Linked DNA regions of Danio rerio. The protein of the gene in region 6 purifies or fractionates together with the protein of the main gene of each other region. This does not show direct contact. Links are inferred from orthologs where the notes say so. Each region holds a gene or a part of one and is shown on either strand. Other genes may lie near its edges.

Region 1 (3,500 bases), on a different chromosome or scaffold from region 6:
AAATGTGCTGTGATTAAAAAACGTAAGTAAACATGCGTACAAATCTAAAAAGCTCCAATGTGGTATGAATATATGGGATTTATATGTCTTTGTTTGGTTGCTAGTCTCTCTGAAAGTGTATCGTGTTAGTGGTCATCTGATGTTGTGTGTGTGTGTCTTTGTAGGGACAGGTTTCAGACACACTGAAGAGATTCGCTGTGAAAGTCACGTCATCCAGTGTTAAAGAGCGCAAAGAAATTCTTGGAGAACTGAAGGAATGTGTGAAGGGAAAGGGTGAGTTTACCTGTTGCTGGTGTGTTGTGTCAGATAAAAAAAAGATGTATATTTGTTTGCATTAATTAGTTGTGAAAAACAGTCTTTTTTGATCACCAAAGCTTTATGTATTGGTTTAATAAATGTGGTTCAGGATTTATTTATTATCTATTTTGAATAAATAATATTTTATCTGGTAAGGCACAATGATTTACGTTTGACTAATATGAGGTGAAATGCATTATGTGGGTCAAAATGACAATTGACAAAGTGTATCCCGGCCAGTAGCAGCAGCAGAGAAAAGGTGTTCAGTGCTGCTCAGTGAGCGAAGGACTGCACTAAAGCCATTTACAGTGGATTCAATAATGTTCCCCCACAAAACACATAACCTAATCTTGATGAGTAAAGAATTTCAAATTATAACTAAATATTAATAAAATCATAATGTATGCAGAGTGTACAGGCTAATGCTGGCATTATTCTTTTATTATTAAGCTTCACCATCGCATTATTGTGAAGTGAAGTGGCAAAACAAATCCCACTGAGCCTTTATCTTAATTTCGTTATTGCCAAAAATCCGTCATCATTTATCATTTATTTTAATTCATTTGCTAAGAAATACTTATTTTTATTGGTGTGTTGGCCAATTTAAACGTTAAGTGTATGTACCCAGGCCTATTTAGAGTGTTGAGATGTTAAGATGTTACAGGGGGCTTATTTTATTTTGTTTTTTCCAACTTGGCCTGTAGCCTATGTTATGGATAAGTAATGTTAACGCATATAAACAACTCATTCATGAAAAAGACAAAAGAGCTGTGCATGTACACATTTGGATAATGTCGGGCTATAAACGGGTTCGGGCTTTTAAAAAGCTGTCAATCAAAATGTACCTGTCGGGTTCGGGCTCTATCGGGCCTACCTTTCATAGCCTGATTACAGCTCTAGTTCAGACGCCCCCTCACAGTCAGCTATAACAGTTTCATTTCACCACCACACACCCAAAAGGCAGGTTATCTGCGGGTTATCCATACTGTGACGAGGCACAATTTATTTTAATCTAACGAAAACATTAAAATGAGTAGCCTATTCCAAAGAAATTATATAATATTTGGGTCTTAAATTATATTTGTTGAGGTCTTAAAAATGTCTTAAAAACATTAAATTTTACTTTTAAAATGGTGCAAGAACCCCGAGTTGTTTCTTGTACATGTCCTACTGTAAATAGATCAACAAGTTTTAAATGATTAATGCACATTGCTAAGTGCTTCGTTTAGACAAATTTGAAGGTGATTCATTCAGTAATTAGATCAGATGCAGCTTTGCTAAATATTCTTTAATTAATTTCCCTTCGGCTTAGTCTCTAATTTAATAGTGGTCGCCACAGCTGAATGAACCGCCGGCTATTATATGTTTATTTTATATTATATGCCATTACATATGCTTTACATAGCGGACACTCTTCCAGCCGCAACCAAGTACTGGGAAACACTCATACACACTCACATTCACACTCATAGACTACGGCCAATTTAGTTCATCCAATTCCCCTATAGTGCATGTGTTTGGACTGTCAGGGAAACTAGAGCACCCAGAGGAAACCCACGCCAACACGGAGAGAAAATGCAAACTCCACACAAAAATGCCAACTGGTTCAACTAAGACTCAAACCAATGACTTTCTTGCTATGAGGCGACTAACTAAATATCATCCTGTCCTATTCCATAGCATATTATTCTATAGTAAACATCAACGGAAAGCTTATTTATTCTGCTTTCAGATGATGTCTAAATCTCAGTTTCACAAATTGAACTCTTGTTGCTGGCTTTTGTGGTCCAGGGTCCACAAATGCACAAATGCAACCGTGATTTCATCAGTACTATTTAATCTTTTTTTTTTATTTTTTTTTTTTACAGTTTCTAATATTTGTTTTCTGTTAGAATATACTTTAAAATATATAAATATATATATTATATTTGTGACAAAAAATCTATTATTTAATCATCATTACTCCAGTCTTCAGTCTCACATGATCTTTCAGAAATCATTTTAATATATCTGTTTGATGCTTAAGAAACATATTTAGACGACATTTTATTTGAGCTGTTCTTGAGAAACAAATCCAAATGTATTTGGTGAAATAAATAAGTATTTAATTTGAATTCTTTGTGTTGTATTGTTTGTTCAGAGCTTCCAGAGCCGGCCATCAAAGGACTGTGCAGACTCTTCTATCTCACGCTGCACAGATACAGGTGAGTGTGTGTGTTTCTTCTCATCAAAATTCACAACATTCATTTATAAAGCACATTTAAACACAATTTAAGTGGTTTCAAAGTGCTATACAACGGTTTCCACAGGTCATGGCTTTTTGAAAGGCGTATTTTAGACATTGAGTTAGGGAATTTGTGTAGTTTTTGTCCAGGTGATAGAATATCGGGGATTTGGGTTTATTGTGTTAATTTTAGCATCTATCTATCTGTCTATCTATCTGTCTGTCTGTCTGTCCGTCCGTCTAATATATGACCAGGGTTCATACAGTCTTGAAATATCTGGAAATGTCATGGAATTTTGAGGCATTTCTTGGCATTTTCCTGGCCTAGAAAGGTTTTGGAAAATCTGAAAAACCCACAAAGTTTTGGAAAAGTCATGAAAATTAGTTTAACAATTATCTGTATACTTAAATATGAGTTAGTTGTCTTTACTTCTTTTCTGTCCTAGGCCAAACTCATGCTCTCACATTATTAGTACTGCGTGAGCATTATCTAAATACATTTTACGTATATAAAAGGATGAATTTAAACTAAATAACAGGGTGTCCGCGGTCTTAAAGTCTTAAATTTCAAAAACTAAATTTTAGACCCTAAAAAGTCTTAAATTCACTGAAATATTATGTTATGTGTCTTAAATGATTTTTTTAAACCGGTCTTAATTTCCCTCTGCTCAAGTAAAGCTACACATTCAGGCCAACATCCCCTCCAATCACAAACAATCCATCTTAATAAAACCTTTTTTTAAATATTTAGATTTAAATTTAAGTTTTTTTATTGCAAAGAGATGCAATTTACAGTAGCTGTTAGAAATATTTCACAGTAATTCCTCCAATTCCCAGGGAAAAAAAAACAAAAACAATAACAACAGTTCCTTATGAAAAAAACAGAGCAATATATCCTTTTATGTTGTTTTCGATTAATTCAAAAACTCTTTACTAAAGAGGGAGTAGACATAATATTTATGAATAGGCGTGAGCTTAA
Region 2 (3,500 bases), on a different chromosome or scaffold from region 6:
TTCACTTCAGTCAGAACTTCAGGGAAAATGTTTGATTACTGATACAAGTAATAATTAAATAAACATTAATAAAATACTAATTCAAGCAAATGATTGCAGATCCACCAAAAATATGGCTAAATAAAACACAATGCCCTCTGCAATGTTGCTTTCATATCCATGTGTTGATCTGTGTAGCTCAGGATGCATGCTCATTTCTATTGAATATGTTGAAATTGTGTTGAAATAGGTGAACGTGCGAGCAGGAATGACGCTGCGCAACTGTCTCATCAAAGCCCTGAAAGTTCGAGGTCTTCAGCCTGAATGCTGTGCTGTTTTCAAGCTTCAGCGGGAACATTCTGCGTAAGTTCTGAAATATGAAATAAAATAATACAATGAGAGCGACCCACATGTGTGATATCATTAACAGCAGTGTCTATCATGCATTTACTGTTTGGATGAAGCCATCAACATGAAGGACGTAAACATTTATTAACCCCCCTGTAATAAATAATAAAATAAATACAATTGAACATTATATTAATACAGATCTTTATTGGCTGATGGATGCTCATTTTCCAGTATAGTACTCAGTTTCTCTAGATCATATATCAAAAATAAATTAGCCTAAAGGGGCTAATAAAATTATCCCTAAATGGTGTTTAAAAAATTAAAAACTGCTTTTATTCTAGCCAAAATAAAACAATCAGACTTTCTCTAGAAGAGAAAATGTTATCAGACATACTGTGAATATATATATATATATATATATATATATATATATATATATATATATATATATATATATATATATATATATATATATATATATTCTGTATAAGTATACGTATTCTGTACGGATGTTTTATTTTTCTATTTTATTTTATTTATTTTTATTTAAATTTTTTTTTTTTAGAATTTATTCATTTTAATTACATAATTATTTTTATTTATTTATTATTATTATTATTATCATTAGTAATTTTTATTTATTTAGGTTTTCTTTGTTAAATAAATATAATTTTAATTTGTGCTGGGGTGGGAATAATATTTGTTAAAAAAAAAAAATATATATATATATATATATATATATATATATATATATATATATATATATATATATATATATATATAATTTTTTTAAATTAAACTTTTACAGATTTATTTATTTATTGACAGATTATTCCTAAATATATTTTCATATTTGACCATATATATATATATATATATATATATATATATATATATATATATATATATATATATATATATATATATATATATATATATATATATATATATATATATGTATGTATATGTATATATGTATATATGTATTTATGGCCAAATATGAAAATATACAGTAAATAAAGTTAATATTTAGTACATTCGAAGCAATATGTTCATATGTGTAATTATAATGATTTAAAATTAATATGCAAATTGCATTTGCATTTCTATATTTGCTGTGGAATTGCAGCAGTCACAGTCATCCGATAAAACCACATTTATATTAAATAACCACATTTAGGTTATTTAATAACCGCGACAGCCCTACTGCAGGGATATTCTGAATGAGTTGTGCATGTGCTAAATACTGATTGAATATAGTACATATGTTGTACATTTATAGAATGTGTGTGTGGTCAGATCAGTATGTCTAGTATGTTAACATGTGTAGGTTTTAAAAACTGCTCTTACGTCCAGTGTTGTGTTTATATTCATGATTGTTTATGTTTAGACTAATGCTGCGCAAAGATTAATTGCATCCAAAATTGAAGTTTGTTTTGACATGATATATATAATGTGTGTGTATGATGTATATTTATAATGCATGGAAACCAAACTATACAAAACTATGTTGTTACATAAATATTAAAATTCATGTATAATTTGTAAGGTAAACATTTATATAGCATATCTAAATATAAATAAACATTTTCTCAAATGTATGCATGCATGTGTGTCTTTATATACACACAATACATATGCACAGCACACACACTTACATGGTCAAAACAAACTTTTATTTCAGATGAGATTAATTGTGTTTAGTTTAGGCTCTGCACTAGTTTAGACTTGGCATATTGTTCCACCTTATATGCACACATGTAGCTGAATGACAATAACGCTTGACTTGAAGGGGGTGAATACTTATGCACACAAGTGTTCTGTGTTATTACCAGGACCTGATTATAAACCTGCATCTCAGAGTCCGTTCATGCTTTGTTTTCTGTGCAGTAAGAAGCTGCGCATGGACTGGAGCACTGATTCTACCTCACTGGTCGGAGAGGAGCTGCTGGTTGAAGTCTTAGATCACGTGCCATTGACCACGCACAATTTTGTGAGTTTCTGTAACGCATGTGAGTGGATGCGGTGTTCGGCATCGCTCTAACATTTGCCCGTCCTCTTCTCAGGTACGCAAAACATTTTTGAAGTTGGCCTTTTGTGACATCTGTCAGAAGTTTCTTTTGCACGGCTTCAGATGTCAGACGTGCGGATACAAGTTTCACGAGCACTGCAGCACCAAAGTGCCAACCATGTGTGTGGACTGGAGCAACATTCGCCAACTCCTGTGAGTATATATGTGTTCAGCATCGGCACCACGATGTGCAAATCCACATCGTCACATCGCAGCATCTGCAATGTCAGTTTATTCATCCTGTTGAAATCTGAGGGATTATAGTTGACCAGGAACCACACTGTATAGTCATTGGGAAGCTTAAACTTTTTTTTAACATATACATTATTGCACAGACAGGTAAAATATAGAAAAAACACAACAGACAACAATACAATGTCTGCATTTTTCCTTTTTTTTTTGTTAAGCCCAAGATCAAACTAGAACTATCCAACGTTACATACCCACACCCACCCACAAACCTCCCGGGAGAAATGAGAAATCTCTACAGACTCTTTTAAATGTACATGAAATAAACAGTGAAACTTTATATTAAAGTATATGGTCCATAAATGTCATAAAAATAACTAAAACAAAACTTAAAAAGGGGGAGGGGGGAAGAAAATAACATGAATATAATTCAGGGAGAATACTCACACAAGCAGATGGCACAGTCCAACATCAAGACAAGTTTACCCCTGACCATCTCAGTCAGAATCTAATGAGGCCAAAGAGTCAAAAACTGTGTAAATCGGGGTCCAAGTTTTATAGAATTTGTCAGAGGAGCCCTGAAGGGAGTACTTACTTCACTTTTGGGGAAGTTTAACCTTAATAAATTGCTTGTTTGCCTCATTTTTATGGCCTGTAGCTTCACGAATTCAAGTAGGTGCATATGAAATTATAGCATTTGTAGTTTTATCAAAGATTAATTGTATGTACGTTTTTATACAACTATGCAGTGTTTTTTATTTACATTGAATTAATAGATTTCTGTACCTGAATGCAATTAGACTCTGCAGAAAACCATAAAGCACTGTCTGTGTTTCATTTTTACTGATTAATGGTCATACTAAATCATCCCAATCAACATAAAATTATGAATTATTTCCTAATTTATCTG
Region 3 (3,543 bases), on a different chromosome or scaffold from region 6:
TGAGCCATGTCCTAAAATACCAGCATTCAATTTTGTTGCTACAAGATTTCCTGTAATTAATAAAAATTATACACTCATTAAAATTACATTTACCAAAATGTATAAACCCAACCATTAATATTATGCGTATCCTCATACCAAAATAAGCTTCTTTTTTAATTCAAAAGTTCAGAAAAATGTACTTACATAAATTTAAAAGCAGACCAAATACTGGTTAAAATCACGTTACAGGGAAATACCAAGTTTAGCAAATTAGGTTAAAACACTCTAGCGCATTTCTAAAATAAAAACAAAGGTTGTTTATTAGAAGAGTGAATGTCCAGCTCTTGATTTCAGACTTTCTCAGGCCCTGGAGCAATGCTCTATTCTGATCAGATAAGGTGATTAGCTAATAAGATTAAGCTGACATGCAGAGATGCACCGACCACAGTAAACCCTCAATAAACCTAACAGAAACAAAAACATGTGCACAAATAACACCAAAGACAAGACATACAGTGTCAAAAAAAACATGTTTAATTAAATTACTCCAGGTAACATCTACAGACAGCGACAGATCAGTTGGTCTTATCGGAGTGCCGGCGCGGGGTTTGGATCTTCCTTCTTCAAACACTTTATCGTGTGTTCACCTGCAGAACAAATGACATGGCATTAATGGCTGGATAATTACAGACAACATCAGTGCTAATTTAAGGGTCATTTAAGATGAGGCACAACAGCCATTTTTTATACAATGATCAGCTTAAGGATTTCTCAATGCGTAGAGTAAATAAAACATCCAAAATACACTTGTTTCAAATGTATTACACTGTAATAAATGGAGGGTCTACGCAATTTATTCATGTTGTCCCAACACAAATTCATTAAGTTAAGTTGATTGAACATAAAACAACCAAGTTGTCCCAAAAAAATAAAAATAAAAATAATTGTTTCAGCTCAATTTAATTTAGTTTAAACAAACACCAAAATTCATTCATTTTAAGTGTATATTACATTGTATATATACACATACATCAAAAATGCTTCTGCAATACTTTATAAAATGGCATGCCAATAAAGCAAACTGAACTTGAACTATGAAAACACGTCAATAGACCATTTTGAGAGATGTAAACAAAAACAATGGTCCCGACATATTTCCTGTTTTACATGTTTAATTTCTATATATATTTCAAGAACACAAAAAGAGCCACATATTAATAATTAATGTTATGATACCCGTTTTAACATTAAGATATGATTGAACTGCCTCTTGTTAGTTATGAAATAGTTTAATAACAAGCAGAAAATGTTAATGGGCCAAGACATGACTACATTGAAAAGGTCTATATGTTACCGTATGTTAGGGATGCATGATATTGGAAAAAACTGGCATTGTGATATATTGTTTTTCTGCGGTATGAACATTATTTCACAAGATGACTATTTGGAAGAATTGCTCATTTTAAATTGACTAGAATTATTTGTAGTTGAGTGAATCTGAAAAAAATATAAAATGTGCAAAATAAAATAAAGCAACAGAACCAAAATAAAAATGAAATTAACAACGCTTTATGGTTTTCAGAGGGACTTTAACAGTACTAAACTATAAAAATTCAATAATCAAATGTAAAATAATACTGCATAGTCTTTACTTTAGTCTATTAAATAATTAAACATAATTAATCTTTGTTAAAGCACCAAACTTATTGTGCCCAAATGGTTTAAATTCACTTGATGTCGTACAGTCACAGTCCTTAACAACACATCTTTCGTATTATTGGAGTTAAACTTTGAATATCCTGAACTGTGTTTCTGGCTATATCCCAATTAGACAGATTTGCACATCAGATGTAAAGCGTGACTCACGAGATCGTCGATCTTGAGGATGCTGCGGACCGTTTCAGTGGCGAGGGTCAGAGCGCTGATGGAGACCAGCAGAGGCTGAACCACCAGCTCCTCCAAGATGTTGGAAATGCCCCCCTAAGAGGAAAAACACATCAGACACTCACATTTCTGTAGAAACACAGTACACTTCCTGATAAACTGGGGGCCTTTTTTCTGATATAATAAGAGTTGCGCCTCAAGGCTGATTTATACTTCTGCGTCAAACGCACGCATATGCTACAGCGCAGCTTACGCGTCAACGCATAGCCCTACGCTGTGGCCGTCGCTGACGTGCTCCTCTCAAAAAGTTTAACTACACGTCGCAACGATGCATAGCGGAAGCTCTATGATTGGTCGGCTTGGTATCGCTGTCGAGTCTAGGCGGGACCGAGAGCTTGATGGAGCAATTGTTTACAAGTGTGGAGTCCCGTGAAGGAGCTCCGGATGGAAAGTTTTGTTTTGTGTTTACCTCATAGTTAAAGTTGTTGCACGTTCGCCGGTTTCTGCCTCAAAATGAGCGAGTTTGAGCCACTTGTACATCCCGGAAGCATTCAGAAAGTACAAAACACCAGCGAAGAAACTCATCACAGAGACACATTTACACCTTACTGCCAACTAGCGTTTTGGAAGTGTTAATGCAGACCAACCGAGACAGCGCGCAGAAGTATAAATGCACAGCTACGCGCACTGCATGCGCTGTTGGTTCCGCCGGTCACTTGACGCAGAAGTATAAACCAGGCTTCAGAAGACGAAACACCATTGGAGGTTTGAGATGCTCAAGACAGTGCTGGGGGTAATAATAATACTGAACCACTGTAATGACAGACTTTGGCTGAGGGATTTTAGAAAGACCTTAACAACATTTCTGATGTTTTACAATGTGCTCGAAATGCTGTTTTGTCCTTTAAAGCCATGGTGTCTATTTTAACACATCAGTACTCTCTGATGAACGTGATTGGCTGGCGTTTGCACTAGTATTGATAAAAGCAATCTGATTGGATGATGCCAATGGGTATGACTAAAAAGTGGTCATAAACATTCTCAATTCAAATAAGTAGCAGCTAAGACCTGGAAACTGTATATGTCGTGACTTAACAAGCGAATATACAGATCTACTGGTTTAAAGCATCACCTTGCGGACGTTGATCCCGGCTGTCGTTTCACCCTGAGCATGTCTGTTGCGCAGCTCGGTGACAGTGGAGATGGGATTGAGTCCTGCGTTCTCTGCCAACGTGGAGGGAATGACCTCAAGGGCATCAGCGTACGCTCGCACACAGTATGCCTCCATGCCGCCCAGACTGCGGGCGTATTCGGCCAACCGCAGCGCCAGCTCGATCTCTGGTGCTCCACCGCCAGCAATCAGAGCTCTGCAGATAAACAGCAGTTAGCAAGAAAATCAGATACAGAAGAATAATGATACATCTGATTTATTAGGAAGAGTGATACTAGCAAAAGTTGGAAAAAGGGTAAAAATTAAGAGACTTCTCTGGATTTACAATTTATATTTGAGAAAAACAGAATAGTTTTATTCCATAAACTACTGATGACATTTTTCCAAATATAAAATAAGATTTTATTAAACAGTATTATCTTAATAAATAAATGAAAAAATAAAATTATATATATATATATATATATTTTTTTTTTTTTTTATTATTATTTTTATTTACAATTTGG
Region 4 (3,500 bases), on a different chromosome or scaffold from region 6:
TGGGAATCATCCCGAACTTTACTGTAAACTCGATCTTTTTTATTTACCCGAGTGTGTGCTTGCTTAACTGAAATGGTGTAGCCTCTCGCTGACATTTAGATGCCATTAGGTTGTACATTAAACATTATTAAATCGGTAACATGATCATGGCATTCATTTTCGTGAAGAGTTGTTTCATTTTAGCTGCGGCTGCAGTCTAGCTGGCCTGATCCAACTCCCGCTAGGATCATGTGCGCTGTCTGCGTCTGCCGCTTTCGCCATGACAACAGCCATTTACAGTGTACCTCTACCACGAAACAAAAACTGCTTCATTCAGGATGGGATTTTTTTCTTACTGTAATGATGTAATGATACTGTAGTGTTATAATCTCCGCTTAACAGGGAGTCGCATTCTAAAGAAACTGCCTTGAAATGAAGCACACTTTTAATTTTGACATACATTTTTAGCTTTATAATTCCTAGCTTAACTTTATGTGAGTTAACAGAGCCATGGGATTAAATGCACATTTTTCAAAATTGCACATTATTATTTGCCAGTCATATGTCATTACTTATTTACTCAGTGCTATACATCTGAGCACCATGTACTGTAAAAACATACTACACCTGTAAAGCTTGCTATAGACTGACATTGCAAAGTGAACTTAAACTATTTTAAGCCCATGTAACGATTTAATTGCATGAAACTGTTCAGCAGACTAGGTAAAAAGCCGTGTAGTTTACCATGTTAAAATAAACAGATTGCAAAACAATTGCAAAGTCTTACATTTGCAGTAGTCTACTGTTCTTGCCAACACATAATTCTACAAATTGCTTATGATACAAATAAACAATGCATATCTAATTTTTGGTCTTCAATGGAAAAGCTTTCAATATTTTATTCAATATTTTATTCAATATTTTTATTCAATATTTTAATAACTGTTTTTTTTTTATTTTATTTTAAGTTTGAATATTTTATATAAATAAATGTGTACAATATTTAATTCAATTACACTCAAATTAACCCAAATATATTTTAGTCAACTAAATCTAGAGTAGATTTAGTCGACTAAAATCTTATGAAATTTAGTTGACTAAAGCTAGACTAAAACTAAAATGAGTCAAAAGACTACGACTAAAACTAAATAAAAATTTGCAGTCAATTTTTTTTTTTTATTTATTTTTGGCCTTTTTGCCTTTATTAGATAGGACAGTATTGAGACAGGAAGCGAAGTGGGAGAGAGATAGGGGGGGTAGGGAAATGTCGCCGAGTCGGGATTCGAACTTGCGACGACCTGACGTGCTATTGCACCATATGTCGGCGCGCTAACCACTAGGCTATCACTAGACTTTTCCTATTTTCTCCATTTGTCTAGTCTCTTGTCTCATTTGGGCTCTACCTGTCTTTATTCTTTTCTGTCTGTTCTTTTTTTTTGTCTCTTTTTTTGTCTCTTGTTTCTTTTCTTTCTCCATCTCATCTCGTCTCTATACAAGGCGAGTGTTTTTATATTGTACTTTAGCACCTTGTATGGTAACGTCCTGACTTCCTTGTTTCGTCATCGTGCCTTTTCTCATTTTGACTCCTTGTCTTTTCTTGTTATGTCACCATTTTTTTGTTTTGTTCATTGTTTCATCTTGTGGGGTCTTGTTTTGGTTCATTGATTCTTATTTTGTCTACTTGTGGGTTGCCTTATTTTGTGTCTTCATTTCTCATTTTGTCTCCTTGTGACTCATCTCATTGTGGCAATGTTTCTCATTTTGTCTTCTTGTTTTTCCATCTATTTTTTTAATTTCTTGTTTTGTCTCTTTGTGTTTTATTTTATTTTGTCTATTCATTTCTCAACTATTCACTCGTCTTTGCTCCTAATTTCTCATTTTGTCTCCTTTTGACTCATCTCATTTTTTTCTTTGTTTTTGTTTTGTTTCTTTGTCTCTCATCCTTGTCTCCTCTTTTCTCAATTTGTGTCCTTGTTTTTCATCTCATCGTTTAATTACTTGTTTTGTCATATTTTGATTTCATGTCTTTTTGTCGTTTTGTCTCATCTCATCTTTTCTCATCTTGTCATCTCATTTTGTATACTTATAACTCTTCAAAATTTTTTCTTGGTTTATTATTTGGCTTCTTGTTTTTCATCTCATATGTTCTCTTCATTTCTCTTTTTGTCTCCTTGTCTCAGTTCCTTTTGTCTCTTCTTGTTTATTAATGTCTCACCTCATCCCATCTTGTCTCATTTTCTCTTTTGTCCACTTGTCTCTTCTCGTTTCTTGTTTTGTCTCTTCACCTATCATCGCCTTTATCTCATGACTTTCTCTCATCTCATGCCTTATTTTGTTGTACATTTAATCTTAAATGTTATCTTCTCATATTCTTTGTTAATTAGTTTATTAGTTTAGGACTTTTTATTTCTTTCTTGTTTTGTTAGGTTTTTTCTCTTTTTTCATTACATCTCAACCTTTGTTCTCTCATCAATACTTTGGTTGATCTCGGATCTTTTTCTTTTTTTTTTGCAATTTCATCTAATTTAATCTCTTCATGTCTCATATTGCCATCTTGTTTTGTTTATCTCATCTTATTAACCCTTATCAGGTTGCTTCTCTGGTTTCTTTTCTTTTTCTTTTGTCTGCTCTTTCTTTTCCAAATTTTCTCTCATGCCATTTCAATGCTACTTATATTAACTTAATTCTTTGAATCGTCTTATTGCTCATGTCTTCACCTTCTTGTCTGATCTGACCTCCCCTACCACTTACACTTTTTTAAATTAAAATGATTATTTAAATCTCTCTCTCTCTCTCTCTCTCTCACTCTGTGCCTGTAGGTAATTTGGACCTGACGGGACCCAAGCAAGTGTTTAAGGCTGAGAATAACTCCTGGGTGACTCCCATCGCAGACCAGTTCCAGCTGGGCATTTCTCATGTCTTTGAGTACATCCGCTCCGAGACCTACAAGTAGTAAGTGAATCTCTCCATTCCTCTTCGCTGAGTTTAAACGTCCAGGAGCATGTGCTGTGAATCGGAGTTACACAGACAATACAGTAGCTCAGTGTTTAGGGATTGTACTTATTCATATAAAGGTTGAAGGTTTAATCTCTAGTACTGGTGACCTAGACACTGTCAAGTTTTCCATTTGTCCGTGAAAAATTACTGACCGAAAAATGTTCGTCATTATCACACAAAATATCGATACTTTGCACCTTTTCACCAAACAAACCCAGAGCAGAACGTTTCTAAGGTTCTTATGTACAATTTAGTTTTGTTGGTGAATGAATCTGCATTTTTGAATGAATCATTTAAAAAAGTAATTCATTGTCGCAGTTTTTTGGAATGCATATTTTAAAAGAATGACTCAAATGACTCACTCATTAAAGCTGCAATTTACTGGCACCTATTGTTGGATTTAGTTTAATATTATTTTTTAAATAGTCCTATAATTTCTTTCTCTCATCTCATGAATCTCATGAATGAATGTTTTTGAATGAGTCATTTAAACAAGTGATTCAATGTCCCAGATGTTTTTAGTT
Region 5 (3,500 bases), on a different chromosome or scaffold from region 6:
GAGCTAAAGCACATCTGATTAATAACAGCTACAATCTATAATAGCAGTGCTGAGCCTGCCTAACCATTTCTCCACTTTAACATACAGCATATATACAGTGTTGGTAACCATCTTATTATTTTCTTATGTTTAATCGAACACTCAGTTATGCAAGAATAAGTGACTGATTTTAGTTGTGTCTTACAGGGGATGCGATATTTCAGATTATAGTGAGCATTTCTTTTGTCAGTAGTTCTGATTAGAAGTTGAAGTGCTTTTTGATGTTATAAAATGTTGATTTTTTTGGCAGAAGGGAGAAACAAAGTTTTGAATGCTTAAAGGTGCATGTCCACCGAAGTGTTTATTTTCTCAGGTTTATGGCAAGTGCTGAGAACTTTCAGTTTTTTAAAGGTCTCGTGAAATGATTTGAAATGTGCATTTTCATTCAGTTTAACGCAATCTCAACCAGTACATGAAGAGGGATGGTACACAGTGTAGCTTCTCCCCTTTTAAATAGCAGCTAATAGCATTTTTACCTCTTATCACCTCTGTGCCACTAAGAGAGGTTGAGCTCAACTCCATCAAATGTGAAGCATCTTGAAGGGGGTGGGGCATGTCAGAAACTAGATAGCATTCGATTGATCCAGATTTGATGAGAAACTGAAGTATGAGGTGACATGAGATTTTGGCGGAAGTGACAAACAAGTTTTACATATTTGTATCAGTTTTTATCTTCAAATGTGAATGTGTCACTGTTTTGGTGCACACTAGCTTGTAGATGTCCTAAAAACTAATAATACTGATTCTAACAACTAAACTTTATTTTAAATCCATGGGACCTTTAAAATCTCCAATAATTGGAAAAGCAAAATGCAATAATTGAAGTGCTCAACTGAGGTCGCTGACATTTTCAGCTTCGTGAAAACTCAACAGTGGACGGGCGCACTAAAGGTGCATCCCAAATCGCATACTTATGCACTATTCTTTGCCATTTTGTAGTATAGTGCAAGTAGTGCGTTTACACTGAACTCTAAGATTAAGTGTACCTAAATACCCAGACGATGCACTTATTCAACCGTTCAAATCAAGTGTGAAATGTTGGACACTTGGTAACGGAAGAGGTGGAGCTTTCAAGCACTGTTATTGGATTACTTTATTTTAGATTGTAAAAGCAAAATTCTTCTATGAGAGTAATTGTAGCGCCTCCCAATGGTGAATGTGGTTATGCTCATAGCAGGTATTATTTGGTAGTTTGACTGTCAAACGTCATCTGTAAAACTGTTTCAATTTCTGCTTAGTAAAAAACTTTAGTGTTCCATTTGAGAAGACATTACATGCATATACTATGCTGTAGAGTGTGTAACTGCATAAGTACATAGTGCATAAGTGTAATGTGTATAGTGTGCCATTTCAGAAACAGCTACAGTTTTCTAAAGTAAATTATGGCATTGTTTTGGAGCACCCAAGCTTTTTTATATTTGTGCATATTGCACAAAAACTTGCATATTTCTTACACTAGTTATACTAACACCTCAAAAAAAATCAATGACCGGTCTGTCCTATAATTTTTTAAGTTAATGTTTTAAGAAATAATGTTTTATTTTTTAACAGTACTACATCATTGAAGTCAATGCCCGTCTCTCTCGAAGCTCTGCATTGGCCAGTAAGGCCACAGGTTACCCGCTGGCCTACGTGGCTGCTAAACTCAGCTTGGGAATCCCTCTGCCCGTGCTCAAGTGAGTTCTTTTATTAACATTTGCTGTTTTATTGACTCTAACTGCACATTTGTGTATTGTTATCTTGTTGCAAGTTGCTTATAAGTGATTATTTTCCAGAAATTCAGTGACTAATTCCACAACCGCCAACTTTGAGCCCAGTCTGGATTACTGCGTGGTGAAGGTTCCTCGCTGGGATTTAAGCAAGTTCCTCAGAGTCAGCACTAAAATAGGCAGCTCCATGAAGAGTGTTGGTGAGTTTTTTTTGTGTGTGTTTTTGGTCCTACACTCTTATCAATTGGTGAAGCTTTTTCCTCGTCATTGGCTATTTTTGGTTTAGAACTGCATATCATTGGATTCAGGGTTTTGGCTTTTCAGCAGTGAACCTTACAATGCACTAAACTGAACTTCAACTGGCAAAACTGGACTAAAGCAGTTTCAATTTACTAAAACTTCCATGTTAAGCTGCTTTGACACAATCAGCATTGTAAAAGCACTATAGAAATGATGAATTTAATAGAAAAAAATAGCAGGATAAATATGTATTATGTTGAGTCTCTAAATGTTTCACTAGCAAAGGAAAAGTATCAATGTATTAAAACAAGATTATGAATTTTAAGATTGTAAAATTTTAGCCTGTTCCCTTTGCCATTGAGAAGGTGCTATCTGTGCTGAACACAAGTATCCAGTATATAGAGAACTCATCCAGCACTCTCTTTCATCTCAGGAGAAGTGATGGCCATCGGCCGCAGCTTTGAAGAGGCCTTCCAGAAAGCTTTGAGAATGGTAGATGAGAACTGCGTTGGATTCGATCACACCATCAAGCCAGAGTCGGAAGAGGTGGGTACTTAAGTTTCAAAACTTTAATCTTACTTCCAAAGGAGATGCATGTTTTTTGTGCATTAGGCTTGTAAACAAATGCATAAAACTTAACTATAGAATATTTTGTCTTGTTTCTCAGGAGTTGCAGACTCCCACAGACAAGCGCATCTTTGTTCTGGCAGCTGCTCTGCATGCTGGATATACAGTAGAGCGGCTCTATGAGCTGACCAAGATAGACCACTGGTTTCTGCATAAGATGAAGAACATCGCAGACCACAAGAAGCTTCTGGAGACGTATAAGCAGGATGAGAGTGCAATGCCTCCAGAAATCATGAGGAAAGCCAAGCAACTGGGCTTCTCTGACAAACAGATCGCTCAAGCTGTGCAAAGGTAGGAATGTACTATTATTACGTGTGTGTGTGTGCGGGTGTGTGGGTGTGTGTGCGTGTGTGTGTGTGTGTGTGTGGTGGTGCAGTGGGGGGGGGGATAATAAATTTAAATTCATGCAAAATATTGGAAAAAGTTACATAGTAAAGCATTTCAACTAAATTGTGTACATTTTGTTTCTTTTAAATTTTACTCGTAAATAATATGTTACAAGATATTTTTCAAAACACTTCTATACAGCTTAAAGTGAAATTTAAAGGCTTTACTAGGTTAATTAGGTTAACTAGGCAGGATAGGGTAATTAGGCAAGTTATTGTTTAATGATGATTTGTTCAGTTGACTATAAAAAAAAAACTTAAATGGGCTAATAATTTTGGCCTTAAAATTGTGTTTAATAAATTAAACACTGCTTTTATTCTAGCCATAATAAAGCAAATAAGACTTTGTCCAGAAGAAAAAATATTATGAGACATACTGTAAAAATTTCCTTGCTTTGTTAAACATCATTTGGGAAATGTTTAAAAAAGAAAAAAAATTCAAAAGGGCTAATAATTCTGACTTCAACTGTAGCTGCAAGGTTTCAGATTCAGCAGAGCA
Region 6 (3,500 bases):
TTAAAAAAATCAATTATGCAAGGTTCTTATAATTATGATTTATTAATTCGTTTTTTATTTCAATTATTACTGTTTAGTTTTAGTTTGTTTCATTAATGTTTGTTTTTTGGTTCGTTTTAGTTTAGTTTGTATCTTTAAACACACTTTTTATTTAGTTTTTATATATTTAGTTTCAGTTTTAGTTTTAATCATTTTAGTTTAACAGAGTTTAAAAAAAAATTACCTCTTGGTATTAAATGAAAGATTTGTTTGAAAAGACACCGAACCGTAAACCTTAAATGCAGATAAAACGATAAATCTTGATTTTAGAGATAATATATGTAGTTAAACATGCCTAGTTTACATTTGTCAAGGATTAAAAATACATGGAAGATTTTTATAATTAAGAAGGTATATATAATCATGTGCTTGACTGATGCGTTCAACTATAAAAGCCCCATCTTGAGGTACTTCTATATATTACAGCAGCTCAGATTTTCTGCCACAGAATGACTGCTTATTAATTCTAAAGGACATAAATATTTTTGCTGAGTTTTTTTTTTTTCACTTGTTTTTTTATGTGAATTTTTTGTTTTTCCATTGTTAATTACTTTCAGTTAACAAAAAATATTTTTAGATATTATTATTTATTAGACTAAAATAACCTTGTAATAATGACTGTTTTGTAAAACAACATTTTCAGCTCCATTTCATTTTCAGAAGTCAAATCTTGACATATAGTTCATAAAGGTTAACATTAGCAGAATCATCAAAGAAATGCTTGAACATTGGTACTCATTGGTTGGTTGTACTGTTTGGTCACGTCTCCAGGATCTGGTCAGTAATGGAGCTCAGGTGAGCATCTGCAACAAGTATGGAGAAACTCCAATGGACAAGGCCAAACCACCGCTTGCAGCAAATCTAAAAGGTAAGCACTCTCTCTTTATTTAATAATGCAGTAATTTGACATCAGCGGTGCTTTTGTATGATGTTTTTATTTTAACCTTGTGAAGTCTCAGAGATCTGTTTCTGTTAACATATTTTCCATTGTCTCTTATATCTATCACTGTTATGTTTATGAATCAGACCTGGCAGAGAAACAAGGACAGAGCCTGTCAAAAGTCCCTTACAAGGACAATTTCTGGAAAGGAACAACTCGAACACGACCACGTAAGCAAAACCTCTGAGTTTCGTTTACATTTTTAATGCAGATGCAAGCAGTTTATTATCATCTACTGTATCATTCTGCTTTCAAAGGTAAGGATTCATTAGTCTAAACTTACATTGAGCAAACAAATATCATAACATCTAAGTTGATAACTCACAGTTTATATATATATATATATATATATATATATATATATATATATATATATATATATATATATATATGTGCGTGCGTGCGTGCGTGCGTGTGTTTGTGTGTGTGTGTGTGTGTGTGTGTGTGTATATATACACACACACACACACACACACATATTTTTTTTTGTGAAACAAAATTATTTTCAAATTTGTAACATCCCATTCAAGTTCAAAAATGATGGCAGTGTTTTAAAAGTGACCACAATATTTAATTTGTCAGGGCTAAATTACACTACTAATGCTTTATTTTATTAAATATTACTCTATTCGTATTAATAAAAAATAATAAAATGAAAAAAAATTAACCTTGTTGTAAAGACTTTTTTTATAAAACAACAAATGCAAATAATAATACTTATAAAAATGTATAGATATATGTATGGATGTCAATTTCCAATAATAATTTTTAAAAAATTATTTATATTTTATATATATACACATGTACACAATATATTACACAATAATTATAAAAACTTATTATTTAATTAAAAATAATTTTATATTGAACTTAATGCTAAATGAAATATTATTGTGTATTCGTAAATATCTACAGTTTGTTTACTGTAGTGTAAGTGTTTTTGAATTATTATTATTTTATTTATTTATTTTCTTGCACTAGTTTTGTTGAATGGCCACATATACAGTTAAAGACAAAAATAAATGCTTGCCCTCCTGTTAAATAAATTATCTTTCCCAATTGATGTTTAACAAGCAGGGTCTAAGATATATTTTTACAGTTTTAATGGCTATTTTCTAGTAACTTTGCTGACTGTACATAATATTTTACTTGTATTTACTGTATATATACTAGTGTTTCGCCAGATACTTAACTGTGTTAAATAGGTTAAGGCAAGTTAGTTTAATTAGGCAAGTTATTGTAAAACAGCACTTTATTCTGTAGCCTATCAAAAAATACTAATTATTTTGGGGCTTACAATATTTACCATAAAGTTTTTTATATTTGTGAATATTATTTTTTGAATTTCAGCCAAAAATGAAAAAAATAAAAGACTTTTTTCCCAAAAGAAAAAAACTAAAATGAAAAATAATGAAAAATTCACAGAATTAATAATTTAGTCTTCAGTTGTATATTGCCTTATCTTATTAACTAAGGTTTGTTGCTATGTTTTTTTAACATTATTTTTTTTCCTGCAGGTAATGGCACACTAAACAAGCAAGCTGGCATAGATTATAAGCAGCTTAACATGCTGAACAAGATCAACGAGAACCACTCCGGCGAGGTGAGCTCATTTACCAAACCAAAGCAAACTTTAATAAGTATCCTGGCCAAGTCTGAGAGTGCTGATGACGGAAACACTGATGCCTCTGCTTTCTCTCTTTCTCAATCGCTCTCTGGCAGCTGTGGAAGGGCCGCTGGCAGGGCACAGAGATTGTGGTCAAGATGCTGCATGTGCGGGAATGGACCACCAGAAAGAGCCGAGACTTTAATGAGGAGTACCCTAAACTAAGGTGAAGAACCAATAGTCCTGTGTGGTCACATTACACAAATTAAAAAGACAGTTTCCCTCAAAATGTGTAAAATAATGAATGACATACAGAACCACAGTTATTATATTATAATATTATTTTTATTATATTTAAATCAATATTTATATGAATAATATAAATCATTTTTAAATGATAATATTGTTTTAATTAATTTGTTATAAAGATAATAATAGTAATAAAGTATATTATAATATCTTTAAAAAATGTTAAAAAGGGCACATTTATCACATTTGGCTGCTAGTTATTGCGATAATGACAAATCATTGTCTGTTTTTGGGCTTTGCAGTTGTTTTAATGTACTTTTTTTTCTTCTCTAACTGTAATACATGAATATTTAGATTTGGAAAAAAATGAAGAGATCATTTGAAAATTCTCAGTTTTTATTAGTTATTTAAGTAAAAGTTAATATTTGTTTTATTGATAAAGATCTGATAATATTTATTCCAAATTTCACATATAAATATAGTAACTTTGTAATGTGTATTTTTGTAATAATAGTATTATTAATTATTACATGATATCAATAATAATGTTCACAGTTGTTTTTTTCTTCTGGTTAAATTTCTTTAAAATAATTTGTGAAATTTCTTTTAAAATAATTTTATTCATTTATAAGTCAAAAACCTTCATATTGTATATTCCTACTTTCA
Region 7 (2,002 bases), on a different chromosome or scaffold from region 6:
ACTTTGTAACACAAGTTCTGCTCAGACCAGGAGCGTCTGATCTTACTGGGAGTTTTAGGTGAGGCATGTTTATAAAGAAATCAGTCTTATTACTTCTCATAAACTGTATTGTCATTATAAATAACGTGTTCTTTGTTTTAGGCTCTATAAGAAAGAGGTTCTGGAAAAACTAGTGGAGCAGTGTGTGTCAAAAGGCTATGTGTTCCAGATGGAGATGATTGTCCGGGCCAGACAACTGGGCTATACAATTGGAGAGGTCAGCACATCTCTTTCCACATTTCCTATGAATGCAGTTATTGCCAGTTATTTAAAAAATGGTTTAGATATATTTGTGTAATACTTGGACTATAGTGGCATTTTGCTCTGGGTAGTTACTGAAACTAACTGCTAGGCCCTGTTCATCGAAAACGTATTTCCCCACTGCCAGCAGGAAATCTAAGGTGATGTAAGCCATGCTGACAGTGACATCAAAATAACAAAGATGTTTCATGATAATGCAGATTATGTCAAGGCTTTTATATCAAAGTTGATATTTGGTCGCATCATATTGGTGTTTGGAAACATCTAGTTTTTAGGATATGAATTGTTAGCTCAATGCTCAACCCCCAATCTGAAGGATCAGGACATACACGCATACACTACAGACAAATTACCTTACCCAATTCACCTACAGCACGTGTTTGGACTGTGGGGGAAACCCACACGAACATGAGGAGAACATGCAAACTCCACTCAGAAATGCCAACTGACTTAGCCGAGACTGAAACTAGCGACCTTGCTGTGAAGTGGCAGCACTAACCACTGTACCACCGTGTTGCCCATATTATGTGAATGTGTATTCAAATTCTCTGCCAGGGTTTACATCACTGTAGCTGCTATTTTGATGGATTACACCCTGATCTAATCCAGGAGCTAATTTAGTCCAATAAAACAGTGTTGTTTAACTTAAATCATTCCCAGTTCCTACAGTGCGAACACTCCAGAAACCATGTTATGGTTCTAGGAACTGTGAAAAAGTGTAAAAGCCTCTTATTTTGTAAGCTGGAAATTATGAGTCACTGTACTATATTTAATACAAACACTTTTGTTTTTCATTCTGTTTCATAGTAGCAGAATGGTTTATTTGATCGATTTCTTAACGTAGCTTTTTTTTTTTTTTTTTGTCTGTTATTCAGGTTCCCATTTCATTTGTGGACCGTGTTTATGGAGAGTCCAAATTAGGTGGAAATGAAATCGTCTCCTTCCTGAAAGGACTGCTCACTCTTTTTGCCACTACATGACCTTTGACCTATTTGGTTGCATTTAGTGTTGTGATGTATGATCAGCGCTTATTATCACTGCAGTGGAGCGAGAAGCTAGAATAATTACTTGATTACCAAGTAATGAGGTCATTATGCTTGGATTTACCACGTTCCTTCTACTTAGTTTTGTTAATTACTAGGCAATGTTTAGAAATGTACATTCAAATGTTCTGAATTGTAATAAAAGGACCAAACTGAGAGCTAGTTTTTGAAGTACTAACACTTATTTCATATGAACTATGTTTTTAGGCTATAAAAAGCATCATTGTGGTTCTATTAAGAAATGAACTCATCCCTACAAACTGGATTCATTCAATGACTGAAATGTTCTTCTCAAAATGCTTCTCAAACTGAATTTCTGTGAAAACCCTTTAAATATTCATTTGAGCATTCACATGTATTGTTTTGTACCTTTACGAATGGCAATAGAGATGTCTTAAAATAAAAAAAATATTGTTCCAAAATCATTTTGGTTATAAAAAGGTATTTTAACCAATTGATATAAAATAATTTATGACAATACTTTGGATTTAAAATGAATCAAATTGATGAGGCTGAATTATAAAATAGGTCACTCATCAGTCAATGAAACAGGAAAACAGTATGCCACATCCCATGATCCACTGCCATCAATTTCCGATCTGTCTCCTCCCTCACAGTCAGGATTGCCCATTCACTTTGGGTTTAGAGTGCCCAAATGA

What was found.
Region 1: the proteins of ilk (region 6) and gcn1 purify together in Homo sapiens (affinity purification with mass spectrometry; 3 studies listed by BioGRID and IntAct, with this or other methods). This does not show direct contact. The link is inferred for Danio rerio from reciprocal best matches to the Homo sapiens genes ILK and GCN1.
Region 2: the proteins of ilk (region 6) and raf1b purify together in Homo sapiens (affinity purification with mass spectrometry; 3 studies listed by BioGRID and IntAct, with this or other methods). This does not show direct contact. The link is inferred for Danio rerio from reciprocal best matches to the Homo sapiens genes ILK and RAF1.
Region 3: the proteins of ilk (region 6) and cct4 purify together in Homo sapiens (affinity purification with mass spectrometry; 4 studies listed by BioGRID and IntAct, with this or other methods). This does not show direct contact. The link is inferred for Danio rerio from reciprocal best matches to the Homo sapiens genes ILK and CCT4.
Region 4: the proteins of ilk (region 6) and rsu1 purify together in Homo sapiens (affinity purification with mass spectrometry; 9 studies listed by BioGRID and IntAct, counting the BioPlex papers as one, with this or other methods). This does not show direct contact. The link is inferred for Danio rerio from reciprocal best matches to the Homo sapiens genes ILK and RSU1.
Region 5: the proteins of ilk (region 6) and cad purify together in Homo sapiens (affinity purification with mass spectrometry; 4 studies listed by BioGRID and IntAct, with this or other methods). This does not show direct contact. The link is inferred for Danio rerio from reciprocal best matches to the Homo sapiens genes ILK and CAD.
Region 7: the proteins of ilk (region 6) and dpm1 purify together in Homo sapiens (affinity purification with mass spectrometry; 3 studies listed by BioGRID and IntAct, with this or other methods). This does not show direct contact. The link is inferred for Danio rerio from reciprocal best matches to the Homo sapiens genes ILK and DPM1.

What each region holds. Positions count from the first base shown.
Region 1 is NC_133183.1:4,931,287-4,934,786, forward strand, and holds part of gcn1 (stalled ribosome sensor GCN1), read left to right. Parts: intron 1-164; coding exon 165-273; intron 274-2,437; coding exon 2,438-2,501; intron 2,502-3,500. UniProt on the Homo sapiens protein: Ribosome collision sensor that plays a key role in the RNF14-RNF25 translation quality control pathway, a pathway that takes place when a ribosome has stalled during translation, and which promotes ubiquitination and degradation of translation factors on stalled ribosomes.
Region 2 is NC_133186.1:558,494-561,993, forward strand, and holds part of raf1b (RAF proto-oncogene serine/threonine-protein kinase), read left to right. Parts: intron 1-229; coding exon 230-342; intron 343-2,220; coding exon 2,221-2,323; intron 2,324-2,396; coding exon 2,397-2,554; intron 2,555-3,500. UniProt on the Homo sapiens protein: Serine/threonine-protein kinase that acts as a regulatory link between the membrane-associated Ras GTPases and the MAPK/ERK cascade, and this critical regulatory link functions as a switch determining cell fate decisions including proliferation, differentiation, apoptosis, survival and oncogenic transformation.
Region 3 is NC_133176.1:57,146,744-57,150,286, forward strand, and holds the end of cct4 (T-complex protein 1 subunit delta), read right to left. Parts: intron 3,234-3,543; coding exon 2,999-3,233; exon of another isoform or gene 2,607-2,998; intron 2,062-2,606; exon of another isoform or gene 1,963-2,061; coding exon 1,849-1,962; intron 630-1,848; coding exon 615-629; 3' UTR 501-614; downstream 1-500. UniProt on the Homo sapiens protein: Component of the chaperonin-containing T-complex (TRiC), a molecular chaperone complex that assists the folding of actin, tubulin and other proteins upon ATP hydrolysis.
Region 4 is NC_133199.1:36,141,978-36,145,477, reverse strand, and holds part of rsu1 (ras suppressor protein 1), read left to right. Parts: intron 1-2,798; coding exon 2,799-2,931; intron 2,932-3,500. UniProt on the Homo sapiens protein: Potentially plays a role in the Ras signal transduction pathway. Capable of suppressing v-Ras transformation in vitro.
Region 5 is NC_133195.1:42,094,526-42,098,025, reverse strand, and holds part of cad (multifunctional protein CAD), read left to right. Parts: intron 1-1,590; coding exon 1,591-1,715; intron 1,716-1,814; coding exon 1,815-1,948; intron 1,949-2,421; coding exon 2,422-2,534; intron 2,535-2,655; coding exon 2,656-2,906; intron 2,907-3,500. UniProt on the Homo sapiens protein: Multifunctional protein that encodes the first 3 enzymatic activities of the de novo pyrimidine pathway: carbamoylphosphate synthetase (CPSase; EC 6.3.5.5), aspartate transcarbamylase (ATCase; EC 2.1.3.2) and dihydroorotase (DHOase; EC 3.5.2.3).
Region 6 is NC_133185.1:29,715,479-29,718,978, reverse strand, and holds part of ilk (integrin-linked protein kinase), read left to right. Parts: intron 1-810; coding exon 811-907; intron 908-1,065; coding exon 1,066-1,149; intron 1,150-2,496; coding exon 2,497-2,582; intron 2,583-2,701; coding exon 2,702-2,811; intron 2,812-3,500. UniProt on the Homo sapiens protein: Scaffold protein which mediates protein-protein interactions during a range of cellular events including focal adhesion assembly, cell adhesion and cell migration.
Region 7 is NC_133198.1:23,420,724-23,422,725, forward strand, and holds the end of dpm1 (dolichol-phosphate mannosyltransferase subunit 1), read left to right. Parts: coding exon 1-58; intron 59-141; coding exon 142-256; intron 257-1,175; coding exon 1,176-1,280; 3' UTR 1,281-1,502; downstream 1,503-2,002. UniProt on the Homo sapiens protein: Transfers mannose from GDP-mannose to dolichol monophosphate to form dolichol phosphate mannose (Dol-P-Man) which is the mannosyl donor in pathways leading to N-glycosylation, glycosyl phosphatidylinositol membrane anchoring, and O-mannosylation of proteins; catalytic subunit of the dolichol-phosphate mannose (DPM) synthase complex.